Oryctolagus cuniculus: one gene and its partner. The protein of the gene in region 2 interacts with the protein of the main gene of each other region in a pairwise test. Links are inferred from orthologs where the notes say so. Each region holds a gene or a part of one and is shown on either strand. Other genes may lie near its edges.

Region 1 (3,046 bases), on a different chromosome or scaffold from region 2:
AACGCGGGGCGGCGCGGGGCGGGGCACGGACGCGGGGCGGGGGGGCGGGGGGACACGCACCGCCAGCTTGGCCTGCCGCTCCCGCTCCTTCTCGGTTCGGAAGCGCTGCTGCTCGGCTCTCTCGGCCCGGCGCCGCTCCTGGAGGAGGGGGAGGCTGAGGGGCGTGGGGGCGGGGGCGAGGCGGCCCCACACTCACTCCGGGCCGCACTCGCAGTGCCCCGCACCCCGCCCGCACTCACGATGCGCTCCTTCAGCGCCACCAGCTCCTCCTCCTCCTTCTTGCGCTGCTCGAAGTGCACGTCGATGAGCGTCTGCAGCTCCAGCAGGTCTTTCTCCATGCGCTTGCGGTGGATGTCCTGCGGCGGGACGGACGGCCTGGGGCGGGGCCGGGACCCCGCGAGGCGCGCGGCCCCCCAGGGCGGAGGGCGGGACCCAGGACCCCCTCGCGGCGCGGCCCCCCAGGGCGGAGGGCGGGGACCCAGGACCCCCTCGCGGCGCGGCCCTCCAGGGCGGAGAGCATGGACCCAGGACCCCCCTCGCAGCGGGCCTCCTCCAGGGCGGAGGGCGGGACCCAGGACCCCCTCGTGGCACGGCCCTCCAGGGCGGAGGGTGGGACCCAGGACCCCCTCGCGGCGCGCCCCCCCTGGGCGGAGCAGGGACCCAGGACCCCCTCGCGGCGCGGCCCTCCAGGGCGAGGCCAGGACCCCGGCGGGGCGCCCCTCCAGGGCGGGACCCAGGACCCCCTCGCGGCGCGCCCCCCCAGGGCGGGGCCGGGACTCCGCGAGGCGCCCCTCCAGGGCAGGGACCCAGGACCCCCTCGCGGCGCGGCCTTCCAGGGCGGAGGGCAGGGACCCAGGAACCCCTGGCGGCGCGGCCCCCCAGGGCGGGACCCAGGACCCCCTCGCGGCGCGGCCCCCCAGGGCGGGGCCAGGACCCCCTCGCGGCGCGGCCCCCCAGGGCGGGACCCAGGACCCCCTCGCGGCGCGCCCCCCCAGGGCGGGGCCAGGGCCCCCTCGCGGCGCGGCCCCCCAGGGCGGGACCCAGGACCCCCTCGCGGCGCGCCCCCCAGGGCGGGACCCAGGACCCCCTCGCGGCGCGGCCCCCCAGGGCAGCGGCTACTCACATCGAAGTCCACGCGCTCGCCTTCCGGGATCTTGGGCGGCATCAGCGGGGGCACCACGGGCCTGCTGAGCGCATGCACCGTGCTGTACACGGGGCGTGAGCGCGCCACGCCGCGCGCGTCCGCGCCCAGGCCCCTTACAGGACAAGCCTCGCCCCCAGGCAGCCGCCCCTGCCCCGACAGGCTGCATACGCGCACTCGCCCTCAGGCCCGCCCGCGCACCGGGGCCGTCTGCCTCTCCCAGCCTGGACATCAGAGTCCCCCACTGTCCTGGTGCTAGCAGACCTGCACACAGGGGAGGCTCTCTGCAGGGCTCGGGCAACCCCTCCCCCAGGACGCCTTCCGAGATGCCCAGGGCCAAGGCAGGGGCCATCACAGGGCAGGGCACGGGGCCAGCCCGGCCCAGCAGGTCTCCCTCTCTGCCTGCCCCGCGGCCCACCACCCACCAGTGGAGCAGCAGGGAGGGCTTAGCAGGAGGTGATGGGGCCCCCGCCCGCTGGGGTCTCACCTGGGCTTGGGGCGCTCCTCTTCTGCGGTGGTGGAGATAGAAAGAGACAGTTAGTGAGCGCTCTGGGGAGGGGGCCCGGCCTGGGTTACCCTGGGGGGAGGGGACGTCCCCGGAGCCCAGGGCAGGGCCTGGCGTCCAGTTCTGGGGGAGGGGTGTGGGGAGCAGGGAAGTGGGGTGGCCGCGAAGGGGGAGGAGGCTCACACGCATCACATATACATTCAGAACCCGAGTGGGGGCGCCCCCGCCCCCAAGCTTTCTGAGAACCCGACCCCTCCCCCAGGCCCGCCGCACTTACAAGCCCATAGCTGCAGTCTTCCCTCATCAGAACCCAACACGCAGGGAGCCCAGTCCCGACCCCCCCCCCCCCCGAGTTCTGTCCGCGTCCCCGCCGCAGTGGGGCCCCCCACTGCCAGTTCTGACAACTCTAAACTCCGGGTCCCAAGCTTTGAATGTATATGGGGGGAGGAAGATTGACAGGGGCAGGGGAGACGAGGGGCTCTCTGCAAACATCCAACCCTTCTTTAAATGTTCCCCCAGGGCGGGGAAAAGAAGGTTTGGGTGTCGGTCCCTTTAAGAAGGAAGGGAAAGGGTTAAAGGCGCTGCGAGGCCATTTCCCTTCACTGCCGCCAGAGGGCGCGAGGCTCTCTGGGGCTTAAAGGACCGCGCTGGGGCGGGTTGCGGCGGGAGTGGGGAGGGGAGGGGGCGTCACCAAGGAGGTCAGGGTCCCCCGGCCCCCGAAATCGGGCTCGGGAAGCGAAGCAGCCGCGGTTACCTGGCTCTGCCACCGGCTCCGGCTCCTCGGGGGCTGGGGAGGGGGCGGGAGGAGAAGCCAGGGTTTGGGGCAGCAGGGAGGGGAGCGGCCAGGCGGGGGGGGGGGGGGGGGGGGGGAGGCGGGAGAGAGGGGAGGGGGAGAGACGGCAGAGGCTGTTAGAGGAACTGGAGCCCAGGCGCCCCGGGCGCCCCCCTCCGCCCCGGGCCCGCGAGCAGCTCCAGCCCTGCGGGGGGCCGGGGTCTCACCTTCCTCCTCCTCTGCAGCCTCCTCCTCTGGAAGCGGGTGGGGCGCAGGAGAGAGGGCGTTAGGGGGTCGTGGGCAGGGGCAGCCCGAGCCCTGGGACGCCCCTCCCCCCACGGCCGCAGCTGCTAGGGCGCGGGGATCCCCCACCGCCCCGGCACCCCGGAGTTGCCGCAGTCCTCAGCCCGCCATTGGCCAGGGTGGGCGATGGCCGGGGTGGGCGATGGGTGGGTTAGGCCCATGGCTGGGGTGGGCGATGGGTGGGGTGGCCCGTTGGCCAGGGTGGGCGATGGGAGGGATAGGCCGATGGCCAGGGTGGGCGATGGGTGGGGTAGGCCCATGGCCGAGGTGGGCGATGGGTGGGGTGGCCCGTTGGCTGGGGTGGCCCGTTGGCCAGGGTGGGCGA
Region 2 (4,047 bases):
AGACTTGTCTTCTTGCATCTTGCCGCCCAGGGCCTGCATGCTGGTAGGGGTCTCCCGGCCCTGGGAGAGGAGCCCTGGGGCCAGCAGTGGTGCACAGAGACAAGCTGTGACCCCTGACCCTTGGGTGCCCATCCTTCCCTCTGGCTTCCGTCCAGACCGTTGGAGCAAGTTGCTTGGCTCCTCTGGGTTTGGTTTCCTCCGACAGGAGGAAGAATTGCCGAAGCTCTCTGCGGGAACAGGAAGTGCCCAGCACAGAGCAGAGCCCCAGGAAAGCGCAGCGGCTGTGACGCTCCTCCCCTTGGAGAGGCCTCAGGGGCTCCGACACAGCGCGCTCAGCGGAGGTGCTCCCCGAGGGGGCTGGTATTCCCATGCAATACAGATTGGACTACTTTTATAGCGACCCACAGCCCGTGTGCATCCTGTAGCCACAATCTAGACCAGCGGTGAGGAATATGCACCAGGCACAGGCACTGAGCCCGGCATTCGGGACACCTGCTCCCCCTAGCTGAGTTCTCAGGTGGATCCTCGGCTCCAGCTCCTGACGCGGGCTCCTACGATGCAGACCCGGGAAGCTGTGCTGATGACTCAAGTAATTGGGCTCCTGCCACCCACGTAGGAGACCCAGATTAAGTTCTGGGCTCCCAGATTCAGCTCCAACTCAGCCCCCGCTGGGCATTTCACGCATGAACCAGCAGATGGGAATGTGTTCTCTCTCTCTCTCTCAAATAAATACATTATTTTTAAAACGAAAAAAGCACATTCACCATGGAGTCAGTCACACCTTCTCTCTTCTAGCTGTGTGGCCTTGGGAAAATCTCCGACCCTCTCTGAGCCTCCGTTTCCTTATAGGAAAATGGAGCTGCGAATGCCTCACAGAGTGACTGAGACAGGAAGTACTCCGGACAGTGCCTGAGCACAGCGTGTGCTCAGGGAGCACTTGACTGTGTCACATTGCCCATCGGTGTCCTAGCCCACAGTCACAGCCACGCTTCGGCCACTTAATGCATTAACAACGGGGCAGAGCGGCCATCACAGGCCCCAGGCCAGGGCTCTTCCTCCGCGGGCATGGTTGGCAGCACCTCTGGGCAGGCCACTGCCTGCTGCCACGTGCTTGGTGGAGGTTTTAGACCAAAAAGGCTGTGAGGTCAGCAGCTGGGAGTGGTGTCAGGATGTCCTCATTTGTACCGCTCTCCCGGCAGCGGCTGTGTCTCCAGCCGGCCCCACCACTCACAGATGCTGCCTCTCTTATTAACAGGGAGACTCAGCACCCGATGGGCCAGGCTCAGCCCCAGCTCGCCCCCTTCTCGGCTGGGAAGCCTTGAGTCACTGACTTGGCTTCTTGGGGATTACAGAAGTCCCTCCCGGTCTACAGGGTGGCTGCGAGGCAGGCAGAGCCTCCCCAGGGCTGGCAAGGGAGACAATGTAGCCATCGCTGCAGCTCCTGGCTATGTTGTCACTGGGCACTCTCCCTGCCCAGCCGGCCACCTCACAGGTCCCAGGCCTGTCCCTCCCTCTCGCTTCCCATCTCCCCCGGCAGTGCAGCCCGAGGGGTCCCTAGTGGCGGGTTCTGGGGGCAGGGTCTCGGGGCCGGCGAGCTGACCTGGAGCACTCTTGCTTGTAGATGTCAATGATGTTCTCCACCAGCAGGTTCCTCTGCAGCCCGTACACGCCGTGCCGGTCCATGACCACCTCGTGGCGGCAGGACGGGCAGCGGAAACGGCCGCCGGACATGGACACCGTGCCGCTCCGGTTGGTCCAGTAAGGATTTGCGGCCTGCGGTGGCCAAGGTAGAGGTGAGGCCAGTGCTCCCTCCTCAGCCCCTTCCCTCTTGAGTCTCTCCCGCTCTTGAGGTGAGAACAGACCCCTGCCCGGAGAGCCCCCGAGCAGTCAGCAGGCCTGGCTTCCGTCTCTGCCTGACCCTGGGCAGTGACTTTCTCTCTCAAAACCTCAGTTTGCCCACTCAAGAAATGGGTGCTATAATTAGGGCAAAGGTGAAGCAGTGAAGTGGCATTGGAGACGGTGCTCCTGGGGACCGCTGGGTCCTGCCTGCCTGCCAGACCTCCCTAGAGCCCCTCCGGCTCCCACCTTGAAGAGGACAGCCTCGGTGGGGGGGCCCTCTAGGCCTCGTGCCTGCCCGTCCCCCTCCTCCCACAGCTCCGGGCCCCCTGCCACTGTGGCGCTGGCCGGGCCCCAGGGGTCTGGTTTCTCTCCCCTCTCTGCCTGCCTCCCCCTTATCACTTGAGGCATTTGACTCTCAGTCCTCAGCGGGCCCAGGGCAGGCGGGGGAGCTGTGGACAGGCTGGGAGGGACACATGCGTCATGGAGAGGCAGCGGGGCCGCCAGAGCCACCGCCCCAGCCCCAGCCCAGGCCAGAGGCCTCCACAGGGGATCACTCGGAAGCGGAAAGAATCAGCTCGCATTGCAGGGCCTTCGGCTAAGAGCAAAGGGCCGCCGAGTTGCCGCCCAGGGACCCAGGAGCGGCCATGGCCAGCACCGACCTGGAAGATGTCGTTGGCACACTTGCGGCAGAGGTTGTGCTGACACGGCAGGATGACCACCGGCTTGGTGAACATCTCCAGGCAGATGGGACAGATCAGCTGCTTCTCCAGGTTCTCCATGGGGCTGCCATCCTGGATCAGGCCCGACTTGTAATCCATAACGTTGGGGTGGCTGCCTCCTCCACCTGCTGGCTCCGGAGACCTGTGCCTTTGTCACAAACACCCGCTCGGAATCTCTCGGCCTTCTTCTCCCCGCGTCTGAATTCTGTCCGGGACTGGGGCCCCTCTGGTATTTATAGCTGGGTCTCGGTCACATGAGCCCGGGAGGGGACCAGCTGAGCATTCCGATGCCAAGTGCGCGGTGGGGCTTGAGTTTCTTCCAAGCCTGGGAGACGCGGCCCTCTCAGATCACACGCAAGCCTGAGCAATCGCTGTTCCCCGGGCATAGGGGGTCGAAAACAAGAACAACCTGTTCGGAGGCAGCCTGGCGGGGGCATGGGTACCCAGAGTTCCCTCCAGAAACTGGGTCCCCCTAGCTAGGCTGCTGGGCCAGGGATGGGATCCAGGGAGGGGACCTCGGGGATTCAGGGGTTCATAGTCACTGTCCCCCTCATTAACGTAAATCAGTGCCTGCCACTCCCCTGGAGTCCTGGGCAGCTCTCAAGATAAGGGACAGGGCCGCCCCTCTCTGAGCCTCGCACCTGAGCCCAGCGTCTCATGTAGACAGGGGAGGCCCCACCCGGGGTGTCTGTCTCCCTCTCTTGGCCACTTATTCCCCTTAACGCTGAAAGGGCTCCCTTGAGTCCAGTCCCCTCATTCTATAGAGTTTGAAATGAGTCCCAGCAAAGAGAAGACTTTACACTTCCTAGCAGCAAAGCCAGGAACCTTATCCACACACCAGACATTCTTCAGTGCAGCAGGGACCAAGGTGACAGGCAGAGGAGCGGTCTCCTGCCCTGGGATGTGCACAGCCCAGGAAGGAGCAGAGGGGAGCAGCTCTTATGGAAACCCCGCCTGGACGCTCAGCACTGGCCGGAAGGCTCCCCTGGGTCTCGGCACACATTTTCAATTTTACTCCACTTTAAAAAAGCTTTACTTATTATTTTTAAAGATTTATTTCTTTTATTTGAAAGACAGAGTTACAGAGAGGCAGAGTCATAGAGAGAGGTCTTCCATCTGCTGGTTCACTCCCCAGTTGGCTGCAACAGCCGGAGCTGTGCCAATCTGAAGCCAGGAGCCAGGAGCTTCCTTCCGGTCTCCCACGTGGGTGCAGGGTCCCAAGGACTTGGGCCATCTTCTACTGCTTTCCCAGGTCATAGCAGTGAGCTGGATAGGAAGTGGAGCAGCCCGGTGCCATGGCTCACTTGGTTAATCCTCCGCCTGTGGCGCCGGCATCCCACATGGGCGCCGGGTTCTAGTCCTGGTTGCTCCTCTTCCAGTCCAGCTCTCTGCTGTGGCCCGGGAAGGCAGTGGAGGATGGCCCAAGTGCTTGGGCACCTGCACCCGCGTGGGAAACCAGGAAGAAGCACCTGGCTCCTGGCTTTGGATT

Evidence for each region. The genes of interacting proteins can lie anywhere in the genome.
Region 1: the proteins of TRIM63 (region 2) and TNNT1 interact in a two-hybrid assay, tested with the Homo sapiens proteins (2 studies listed by BioGRID and IntAct). The link is inferred for Oryctolagus cuniculus from reciprocal best matches to the Homo sapiens genes TRIM63 and TNNT1.

Annotation. Positions count from the first base shown.
Region 1 is NC_091449.1:3,709,449-3,712,494, reverse strand, and holds part of TNNT1 (troponin T, slow skeletal muscle), read right to left. Parts: intron 2,673-3,046; coding exon 2,646-2,672; coding exon of another isoform or gene 2,578-2,645; intron 2,434-2,577; coding exon 2,401-2,433; coding exon of another isoform or gene 2,384-2,400; intron 1,651-2,383; coding exon 1,629-1,650; intron 1,257-1,628; coding exon of another isoform or gene 1,185-1,256; coding exon 1,124-1,184; intron 357-1,123; coding exon 240-356; intron 139-239; coding exon 61-138; intron 1-60. UniProt on the Homo sapiens protein: Troponin T is the tropomyosin-binding subunit of troponin, the thin filament regulatory complex which confers calcium-sensitivity to striated muscle actomyosin ATPase activity.
Region 2 is NC_091438.1:145,360,161-145,364,207, reverse strand, and holds the start of TRIM63 (E3 ubiquitin-protein ligase TRIM63), read right to left. Parts: upstream 2,807-4,047; 5' UTR 2,658-2,806; coding exon 2,499-2,657; intron 1,774-2,498; coding exon 1,601-1,773; intron 1-1,600. UniProt on the Homo sapiens protein: E3 ubiquitin ligase. Mediates the ubiquitination and subsequent proteasomal degradation of CKM, GMEB1 and HIBADH.